3 linked regions of the Caenorhabditis elegans genome follow. The protein of the gene in region 3 interacts with the protein of the main gene of each other region in a pairwise test. Each region holds a gene or a part of one and is shown on either strand. Other genes may lie near its edges.

The links.
Region 1: the proteins of npr-10 (region 3) and F52C6.3 interact in a two-hybrid assay, tested with the Caenorhabditis elegans proteins (one large-scale study listed by BioGRID).
Region 2: the proteins of npr-10 (region 3) and col-125 interact in a two-hybrid assay, tested with the Caenorhabditis elegans proteins (one large-scale study listed by BioGRID).

Annotation. Positions count from the first base shown.
Region 1 is NC_003280.10:1,923,051-1,926,379, reverse strand, and holds F52C6.3 (Ubiquitin-like domain-containing protein), read right to left. Parts: upstream 1,622-3,329; 5' UTR 1,614-1,621; coding exon 1,502-1,613; intron 1,454-1,501; coding exon 1,127-1,453; intron 1,076-1,126; coding exon 921-1,075; 3' UTR 660-920; downstream 1-659. Other genes in the region: F52C6.4 (Ubiquitin-like domain-containing protein), read right to left, coding at 2,877-3,067, 3,122-3,233.
Region 2 is NC_003282.8:11,223,347-11,227,016, reverse strand, and holds col-125 (Nematode cuticle collagen N-terminal domain-containing protein), read right to left. Parts: upstream 1,512-3,670; 5' UTR 1,502-1,511; coding exon 1,421-1,501; intron 1,351-1,420; coding exon 532-1,350; 3' UTR 501-531; downstream 1-500. Other genes in the region: best-7 (Bestrophin homolog), read left to right, coding at 1-28, 77-163, 215-306; C29F4.3 (G_PROTEIN_RECEP_F1_2 domain-containing protein), read left to right, coding at 3,081-3,213.
Region 3 is NC_003284.9:13,030,984-13,034,742, reverse strand, and holds the start of npr-10 (G-protein coupled receptors family 1 profile domain-containing protein), read left to right. Parts: upstream 1-2,038; 5' UTR 2,039-2,111; intron 2,112-3,759.

The sequences.
Region 1 (3,329 bases), on a different chromosome or scaffold from region 3:
AGTGAAAAAAGAATAACAATCGACAGAAATTGGATTTTCAGTAGTTGTTGAACTTATTTTGTTAAATAAAAAATGATAATGCACCTAAATTAATTTTTTTCATTCAAATTTCGATAAATAGCGAGAAAGAGCAAGTTAATATGGGCAAGAGTTTCGAAAAAATCAATAAATCGAAAAACAAATCTCGACAAACTACGGTAAGCGTAAAAGTTCACAATGAACACAATGCGCATGAATTGACGCGCATGCCGTTTTTTGAGTTTTTTTTTGGTTTTATTAGAATTTCAGCATTTTTTGCAGAAAATTTTAAAAAAAACTATTATAATATTTGAAAAGAAACATTTCAAGTACTGAATCAAGCAAAACAGGAAAAAAATATTACAAAAAACTGTTTGCGCGTCAATTAACATGCATTGTGCGCAACAGCGTACTTTCTCGTCTACCATAGTTTTGCCGATTTTTTATTAATTTTTTTGTGGTTTTTAACGAAAATTCTTGTGAGTTGAAATGTATTCTATGATAGAGAAATACAGAAATTAACGAAAAACCTGAAAAGCACACTTTCTGAATCACTGAAAAAGATTCTTTACGTTGGAAATTCAGAACACAAAGAAATATACCGGCTGTTTAAAAACCATATTTTTAATTTCAAAAAAATCTAAACTTTTTCAACATTCATCAACAAAAATAAACAGAACAGTAACAAAATAACAAGTAACAAATTAACAATATTCAAATTGAGAACTTCATCCACGAAGTCTGAGAATTAAACGGAGAGTAGCCTCATTATAGATGTTATAGGCAATCAAAGTACGGTCATCCTCGAGCTGCGATCCTTGATAAATAAGACGCTGTTGATCTGGTGGAATACCTTCCTTATCCTGAATCTTGAGCTTCAAGGTCTCAACAGTATCCGTATTCTAGATTGAAATGGTGATTGTCTTTCCGGTATAGGTTTTCACAAAAACGTCAATTTCTTTTTCTATAGAAACTTCCAAACGAAGAGTACTGCCGTTTTCGAAACTGTTGTCAAAAAGAGTGCTATGATCGCTAAACAAATCTAGGTCCCAGTTTTCTGTAAAAATTAAAGAAATTAGACATATCTTTCAATATTTAAAGTACAAACCCAATAATAGTTTTTGCGTATTTGGGAGGATTCTTAGTTTTTCCCAAATTTTAGCCTTGACACTTGCCATGGTATCGGAGGCGGAAGTGTCAAGTGTGCATGTTCTTCCAGCGTTCTCAACGTAAATTCGGATTCCTTCATGATGCAGTTCTTGCTGAGTCTCGGCAACCTTGACATTCAGATTTCCGATGACCTCCGATGATTCGACACTGATGGGATCTTCGGTCACTTCTTCTGATTCACGAAGCGGTGCTTGCTGAGCCTCTTGAATTTTGACATCTTGGACAGTGTCCTCCATTTCAATGATTTGATTTCCGGTACCTTTGTCTGAAAATGATTTTTTTAATGCAAAACCCAGAAAAAAACAATAAATACCGTAAGAGACAGTGAAAACGACTCCCTGTTTGTCGCGAACTTCAGTTTTCACACTTTTCGGCGCTTCCACTGTGATGTTTTTTCCAGTCGACGTTTTGATGGAGAGCAGCATGATTTTAGCTGGAAAAATTTATAAATTAAATATTATTGAGAGTTTTGCAACAGAAAAACGAGGACAACGGTGAAAAAAGAAGCAAACAAGGGAGAAATCTGGTTTTTGGATAATTTCGAAATGATTTTTCTTAAAAATATGAATAGAATGAATTAATAAATATTATTATCAAGATTTTGATGAATTACGGGCAAAAAGCAAGCTATAAAGAAGAATTGCGTTGAAAAAGTCAATAAATCGAAAAACAAATATTGCAAAACTACGGTAAGCAAAAAAAGTTCACAATGCACAAAGAACACTTTAATTGACGCGCAAATTTTATTGAAATTTCATTTATATTAAAAAACTTTTTTCTAAGTTTTCGATGAAAACATTTCGAGTACTGAATCAAGAAAAACGGAAAAGTCAATTATTTAATGTGTATCGTGTGCAACTGCCTACTTCCTCGTCTACCGTAGTTTCGCTGATTTTTTATTAAATTCTTTGTGGTTTTTTAAATAATAGAAATTCTAATTGAAGAAACATGTGCCAACAGAAATTCTAGCGGGTTGAATAATGCTAAATTGAATTAAATTCGAGTATTTCAAAATATCAGCCTGAAGTATCCAAAAACCTGAAAAACCAATTTTCTGAACCATCGAAATAAAATGTTTAAGTCGGAAATTCAGAACACAGAAGAATTTACTGGAAAAAAACCCTCATATATCATAAATATGGTACCTGTAATATTTTGAGACAGTGTTTTTAATTTAAAAATTAAAAAAAAAACCTTCAACATTTATCAACAATAAAAAACAAAAAAGTAACAAAACAACAGATTAAGAGCAATCAAATTGAGAACTTCACAACCGATGTCTGGAGACTAAATGGATAATATCCTCATCACGAATGTTATAGGCGAACAGAGCACGGTCATTCTCGAGCTGTGCCCGACCGAAAATGAGACGCTGCTGATCTGGTGGAACACCGTGTTTATTCTGAACCTTGAACTTCAATGTCTCAACAGTATCCGTATTCTTGATTGAAATAGGAATCGTCTTTCCGAATAAGGTTTTCACAGAAACCGTCAGTTTTTCTTTTACAGGAACTTCCAAACGGAGAGTACTGCCGTTTTTGATGTTGTAGTCAGAAATAGTACGTTGATCCTTGCACAAAACAATGTTGGAAGGTTCTGTAAAAACTAAAGAAATTAGACAAGCTATCAGTTTCAAAGTACTAACCCAAATATAGTTTCTGCAGATTTGATGGAAAACCTCGTTTTTCCTAGATTTTAGCCTTAACACTTGCAATGGTATCGGAGGCAGCAGTGTCAAGAGTGATCGTTTTTTCACAAGTTTTAACGTAAATTCGCATTCCTTCACGATGCGGTTTTCGCTGAGCCTCGGCAACCTTGAAATTAAGATCCTTGATGGCGTCCGATGCTTCAACAGTGATTGGATCTCCGGTTACTTCTCCTGAAAAAATAAACATATATTGAAATAAAAACCAAAAAAAAAATCGATAAATACCGTAAGAGACTGTGAAAACGACTCCCTGTTTGTCGCGAACTTCAGTTTTCACATTTTTCGGCGCCTCCACTGTGATGGTTTTTCCAGTCGACGTTTTGACGGAGAGCAGCATGGTTTTAGCTGGAAAAGTTGAATTTATTGAGAGTATTGCAACAAAAAACAGTGAAAAAAGAGTAACAATCCACAGAAATTTGATCTTCGGGAAGTT
Region 2 (3,670 bases), on a different chromosome or scaffold from region 3:
AGTAATCCAGATTGTATCGTGGAAGTTGGTAAGTTGGCAATTTGACTTGAATTTATTTGAATTTATTTCTTTTCAGATGAAGAATCTCAAGATATTCCAAAAGTAACAGAAGAGCCAAAACAGGAACCGCCTAGAAAACGGGTCAATATTTCCAATAAGCGAGGTAAAATTAATTTACTTTTGATTACATTTCAAGTGATATTTCCAATTTCAGAGAGTGTGATTTCAATGGGAAGATCAAGATCATTCAATCACTTTGGAGAACATTCTGATTATCACGATTATTATGATTTTGATAAGCAATAGTTCACATTTTGATATTTTTAAAAAGCTATACTTCTTCATAACTTTGGCACAAGTGCTTTCTTGGATTTTTGATTCTGTAAATAACTATGTACAAATACAAAAAAAAAATTTTTTTAATTTTTTGTCATTTACAGTGTTTCTTTCTTTTAAACATTTAGCCCTGTATGCAAAACAAACAAAAAATATTGAATGAAGAATAGTTTATTTTCTTTAAATGAGAAAAATTTAACGGCGAGTTCCGTCCTCGAAGAAGACTCCTCCGTCGATGGCGCAGTACTTTGGACAGATTCCCTTCTCTCCGGCACCTCCGGCAGTTCCAGCTTGTCCTGGGGCTCCTGGGTTTCCGTCGGCTCCTGGGGCTCCTGGGTTTCCATTTGGTCCCTTTGGTCCTGGGGCTCCTGGTTGTCCATCGTGTCCTGGCTGTCCTGGGGCTCCTGGTTGTCCTTGTGGTCCGGCTGGTCCAGCTGGTCCTGGTGCTCCTGGGGTGATTGGCTCGGATGGAGCATCTTGTCCTGGCTGTCCTGGGGCTCCTGGGGCTCCTGGGTTTCCGTTTGGTCCAGATGGTCCCTTGTTTCCTGGGGCTCCTGGCTGTCCGTCTTGTCCTGGGGCTCCTGGGTTTCCGTTGGCTCCGGCATCTCCGGCTGGTCCAGCTGGTCCTGGGGCTCCAGCTGGTCCGGCTGGGCATGGCTTGCATGGTGGTGGGGTGATTGGCTCACATGGCTGCTGTGGTGGGCGTCCTGGGTTTCCTGGAAGTCCTGGTGCTCCTGGCTTTCCTGGGCGTCCTGGTTTTCCTGGGGTTCCGGCTGGTCCAGCGGCTCCTGGAAGGCAGCAAGCATCACATCCTCCAGCAGAGGCGGCTCCTCCGGTGACTCCAGCATCATATCCAGCTTGACGGGCGGTACGGTTTCCAGATGGGATGGATTTCAATTGGTTGACCTCGGACCAGATATCCTTGGCGGATCCCTTGCAGAAGTTGATCTCTGAGTGCATGGTTCTCTTCACATGGTGGACATAGTTGTACACCATTGGAAGGGTGACGCATACCTGAAAATAAAGAGTTACTTTAATTGTTTCCTATGTTTTAAAATTATAGTTTTTTTAAGTGATGACTTACCGAAATAACGGCGACGACGGAGAAAGCAACGGCCGAGTAGGCAACGAAGCGGTAGGCTTTAATACGCTGTTCGAGATCCATTTTGGAAACTGAATAATTCATTGTCAATGTTTCTTTTATAGTTGCCTCAAAATCAGACTCCACCCACAAAAGATACCTAGCCTTGGCAACACAAAAAGAGAAAAACTTGATCGGTAGGCACGCACGTATGCATCTTCTTCCTCCGTCCCTCTCTTTTTTCTTTTGTCTATGACATTGTAATGAACGAATGAAAAGGCTGGTATCGGCTTGAAACAAAAAAGAAGCTTTTGACAACTTTCGGGTGTTACACAATACGTGATCTAATCGGGTGATGTTGAACACCTTAATCGCTTAAATTTGAATCAATTATAGTTTTTGAGAAAGTGAAAGCATTGCGTAACTAGGATATTTTCAATCCAATTAGAACATGGAATTCAAATGACCTAAAATAACAAATTAGGATTAAAGAATACAACCTTGAACAAATGAGGTAAAAACCAGAAATTAGTTTTAAATTTTGGAAAAGGTTTGATTATGTTTATTTGGTTTTGAAGTTTTAGGAATTTTTTGTTAAAGCTCCAGTGGGACAATGTTTGAAATAACTTCTGTGTTGCTAAAATGATCTATTTTTTATTAAAGTGTGAAACAATTTTTGAAATGTTCTCTTCACAGTGAAAAAATAAAAATAATCAGTTTTCATCAATCATTACTGTGGAAAATGTATTTTAACGATTTTTACTTCCGTACATATATTTTCTGAAAACTCAAAATTCCAAAATACGGTGAAAATATGGGAAGCAGGCTAGAGACAAAGTGAACGCCTAAAAAAATACTCGAATACTACGGAAACCAAAAATCTGACAAAAAAAATATGATAACTTTCAAGTCGGCAATGTCTACTGGTTTTATATGATAACAATATACACAAAATACTTTTCCTATCATCTATATTTAACGAATTTGTCAAATTTTATTTTGTATTAGATTTATATAATTTGATTTTTGATGATTTGATAAGAATACTTCAAAGGAACATTATCTTTGAGCAGTTGCATTTTTGTAATGGACCGAAGGGAATCATCCGAGTTCAAGATTATTCTGATAAAATTTTCTGATATTCGAAGTGCGTACATTTTTGAAGTCTTTCACATAGAAAAACAATGCGCCTTGGCACATCTATTTTCTAAAAATTTTCAAAGTTTTTTGCAGATAGAGTATTAAAAATAACTTTTTTTTAGAGGAACCAATTATTTTATTTCAGTGTGCTTCATAATTGCAATATAATCTCTAAACCAAAAATGAAATTACTGCCAAGTATAATTTTCAGATTGCCTCCAAAATATCAAGACCAAACCTCCAAACTACCATTTTTCTGATTTATTTCAAATTTAAAGTTGAATGCTACTTGTTGTTGATAGCAACGGTTTTATCAGAAAAACAGGTGGAAATTCAGATTCTCAGCTGTCCTGACAACGATGCCGAACTTCATTCTTTTTTTTCAACTTCCACTCATGGATGCTGTTTTATTTTTCTTGTAGTACATATGGGTTGAGTAACATTTATTCGACTCTCGCAATTTTGTTCTTACAAATTATTTCAAATTTCAGATTTGTGATGGTAAGAAATTAAAATTTCAAACATGGTTAAAAATAAAATATCGACAACGACAGAGTATTCAACGTATGATTGGGAGAAGATTTGGTTTTCCGATGAGACAATTATTGGAGCCAGGGAGACACTTATTGATTCATTGTATATTGCATTGACTCCAGGTAAAAATGAAACATTTTAGTTTGTAAAACTGGATATTTTAGATTTATTTTAACTTGAAAATTGAGTGCATTGCTTTGTTAATATACATTATGAAAACATTGGTGTGTTTCTGAAAAATTATATCACTGAGCACGGCGTTCCTCAAAACATACTTTTAGAATCTCTGAAAATTTATCTGAAATAAAAAAAGTTTTAGGAGTATTGGAAGCACTTCATAAGGATAATTGGTTAAAATTGGCTTCAGAATTGTTTTGCAAAACCTAGTTTACTATATAGTCACAAAACGAAAAAAAAGTATAATATAATATTCCTGTACAAACAAACGAATAAGAAAATTGTTGGTAGACACCCTGAAAATACTTCAACAGATGTATTTCTTGACTATTATCAATATTATCAATTAAAATGTTCACATTAGACTATCCGCATTCCCGTTCAATTTTTCAATTTTTCCCT
Region 3 (3,759 bases):
ATTTCAATTTGTAATCAGCGAAAAAAGGGAATAGTAAAAAATAGTAAAAGTAAAAAAGGGAATACTAGCTTAAAGAGGAAAACTAAGTTTTTTGGGATTCAATTTCACTTGTTCTAAATGTAGTTTGAAACTCATCAGAAAACAATCACGGAATAAGTTGGCTTGTAGAATCAATTAACGAGACCCGGAAGTCAACTTTTTGTTACCCTTTTTTTGCAAATTTGATGGAAAAAAGTCCCTCCGTTGTCTAATCCTTATCCCCCACTACGAACCAAGACCAATCCGAAAACCAATTGAGTGCCGCACGAAACCAAAATTGGGGTCCTATCGAGAGGACTGCTGACTGAAAGATAAATTATAGTATTCCTGAGTTTTTTTTTCTAGAGTGTGTGTATGTCTAAGTTGGAGTCAAAATAGCTTATGTTGTTTTTCTTTTTATTTTCAAGTTTTAAATTCTCTCTTTAATGCTATATGCTACCCTTCATAAATACGGGGTCATGAATTGAATTTTCCTGGAAAAAAAGAACCAAAATAAAATTAGAACTAGTTCCTTGTTTTAGTTTTTTATTTCACTTAAAGTTTTAATCTAATTGTGTCGTTTCCAGACATATATTTCTGCGATTAATTCTTACTTTCCAGGTTATATTAAAAATAATTTCATTACTTGACATTTTCCAATCATGGCTGTGCCTGATAGAATTAAAATAGAAGAAACTCGGAACGTGCATTTTCATTAGACAAACTTAATCAAGCCGCCGTGGTTGTTTTAGTGAGTCCGTCGACATCATCACACATGTGGATATGTAGAAAAAAGCAAAGGAAAAATGGAAGGGTGCTGCAATTTCAAAAGGGAACCCTTTTTTCTGTTTGTTTTTTGTTCCGATTGCATGTCATTTCTTTAGAGAAAGAACCACTACGGTATCTTGCACTTTTCCGTTTTTTTAGATTGTTGCTGGAGATGAAACATAACATACTGACAATTTTTAAAATTACATTATTAATTACATTAATTACATAATTACATTTTTTGAAATTTGATTTGGTGTCGCTCCTTTTTTAAAGTTAAGTTAACTAAAATTTGTAATAAAATCAAAATTCAGAAACTCGCAAAATGTCAGCCAAGTTTAGAACATTTAATGTTTAATAAATGTTGTCCCGTATGTGGCTATATTTTTTAAAATAATTTATCCGTGGCTACAAACAGAAATTCGCGCTTAACATTGCCTGCGCTTGTTGTCAAAAATTTCAACAGTAGAGATGATTGCTTGCCCAAAATTTATTTTTAATTTTGTTCTGAATTTTTAACCAATCATACTAAATATTTTATGCTTTTTAGCTAAATTTTTAGCTAAATTGACAATTTATCATAATTTCGGATTATTATAATATATAAATTTCTGTGAAGTCCAATATATCACAATTATCTGTAAGTGCAAAAACCAACAAACCCTATTTTCTTCAAATTATTTTGAGTTTTTTTTTAAACTTGTAGGTGGTATATTAACAGCCGAATGCATGCTCCTCAAAACGGATGTAGAAACATCTGCAAAATTTTCCAAAAGTTTTGTACATGATTAAATACATAGTATCAAGAATGTCACACCAAATAAAATGTTCTCGAAATATTCGAAATTTCTAGGTATAACTATTTTCAAATCTCATATTCTTTTCACAATTTTCAGAAAAATTAAAATTTCTGGCCATCGAACTTACTCTAGGCAGTAGCACACCAGAGTAAATAGCATGCGTGAAATTGACCGTAAATCTTCAGAATGCCACTTTCTAATGCCCACTTTTCTCATCTCTTACTCTAACGAAAAGTGCGGTTTTTCGGTATTTTTGGTTTCGTTTTCTAATCCCGGATGTTTCATTTCCTTCCTTAAACTTTGATGAGTTGCTGGACTATACATATTTCAAGAATCACAATACTTTTTGTTTCTATTTCGGAATATCAGTGTTTCATGACGTTTTTGTTCTTCTTATCTAATTCGATTCTTGACTTTTCACTCCAATGGACCGTGATCATTTTTTTGTTTCAGAGCGGAAATGAATCACACTTCTAGTGAAAACTTCACAACGGACACTACAGAAGCATTGCTCAACGATACATAGTAAGTGACTGAATTCTTTTTCAGAAAACTGATATCATTTTCTCGTCGGGCCCATGCTGCTCTAATGAGGCTAGCGTGACAAAATTGAGTGCACATACGATGAGAAAAATGCAAACTAGATAGATTTGAAGTGATGGGTGCAAAAAAGATGCAAAAGTTTATGATGCGTTTGCGTTCTGTTAACAAATGCATGAAGGATGTGGCTTAAGAGTTTAGGGTTCAGAGTTGAAAAAATAAAGTGTTTGGTTTGAAGATTTTATGAATTGTTAGATCGAGAATCGTATTTATTTCATTAAGTTCTTGATATTTTTATGATCTTTCTTTTCACAAATCCAATATTTCTCTCACTTGGAGTTGGAATTAAAAATGAAATATTGATAACTTCATTCTTCCTAAAAATCGAGTACTGCTTCAAGCAAAAAAGGCAAAAATCTTTCTGTTAAATATTCGTGGTTGTGTTGGCCTTTTTGTTACTGCCGAATCCCGGAATGTTTTTAATTTGATGCATCAATAATTTTCCTTAGGCCTAAAACTGCAAAACTTCCAACCAGCATATCTATTGCATAAGTACTGAGCAGAATCAGAATTTTTTTTTGACAAACAGTACGAGTCAGTTTAAAACATGTTTTGATTGTTCTAGAAATATTGGTCACTTCAGAAGCGGTATTTGCAAAACACAACGTTTTTTTTTTGTTATTTGTACTCAGTCTCGGGACCCTTTGGTTGTTGCTCTCTACAGAATAATAAGGAAAACTCGTTATCACGTGATGAACTTTGCTCGGCGGAATAAAGAATCTGAAGGACCCTTCATTGTGTTCTGCATTAAGCTGCACGCCATTTTCAAAAAGAATTTTAGTTTTGGAAATATTGCTATTATTATTATTCCTGTAAATGTATGCTTAGGAATTCCTTTTTCTAGTATTGTAGCATCTAATACAATTTTCATCAAAGACATAAATGTCAATTTCTATCGGCTGTTCTCTCCCTGTGAATAATACGACAATTATATTAAATTAATTTTCATTAGTGAATAAGCGTAAGTAAACTAGAAACAAAAACGTCACTGACCCCAGCTGAGCAGTGGAACAACATTGTTCTTAACTCAGTAAAAAAAAAGAACATTCCTTATTTTAAACCAGGCAAAAAAACAACATGCTCACTGAACGACTATGTAAATGTTCCAATATTCGTTGGAAAAAGTACACATCCCAACGCAATATTGAAAATCTCACGGAGCGACTATTTGTTGAGCGCATAAATCTTACAAATCTCTACTCAAGAGTCAATCGACTTTTTCATTTTCTCACACTTGAGACATCTACACATTCACAATAAAATCGAATTTTCCATTGCTTCTAATTGTTTTTATTTTTAAATTTTTTCCACACCTAGCTTTTGTAAAATGAAAACTTGTGTCGTAGCAAGATTTAATAGAAAAAATGATTTAAGAAGTCCATTGCAAAAGTATTAAATTTTTTATTATAATACCGGATAAGATTCACATAGAAAGTTTAGCCGAGATCAGTCCGACTAGAATTTGATGTGTCAGATTTGATATTTGGATTGCTTTAGAATCACAAAAAGTTCACCAGTATTAGATGCTATATTATTATATTACATGCTTCGAGAAAATCTAAAAAGGGCGTAC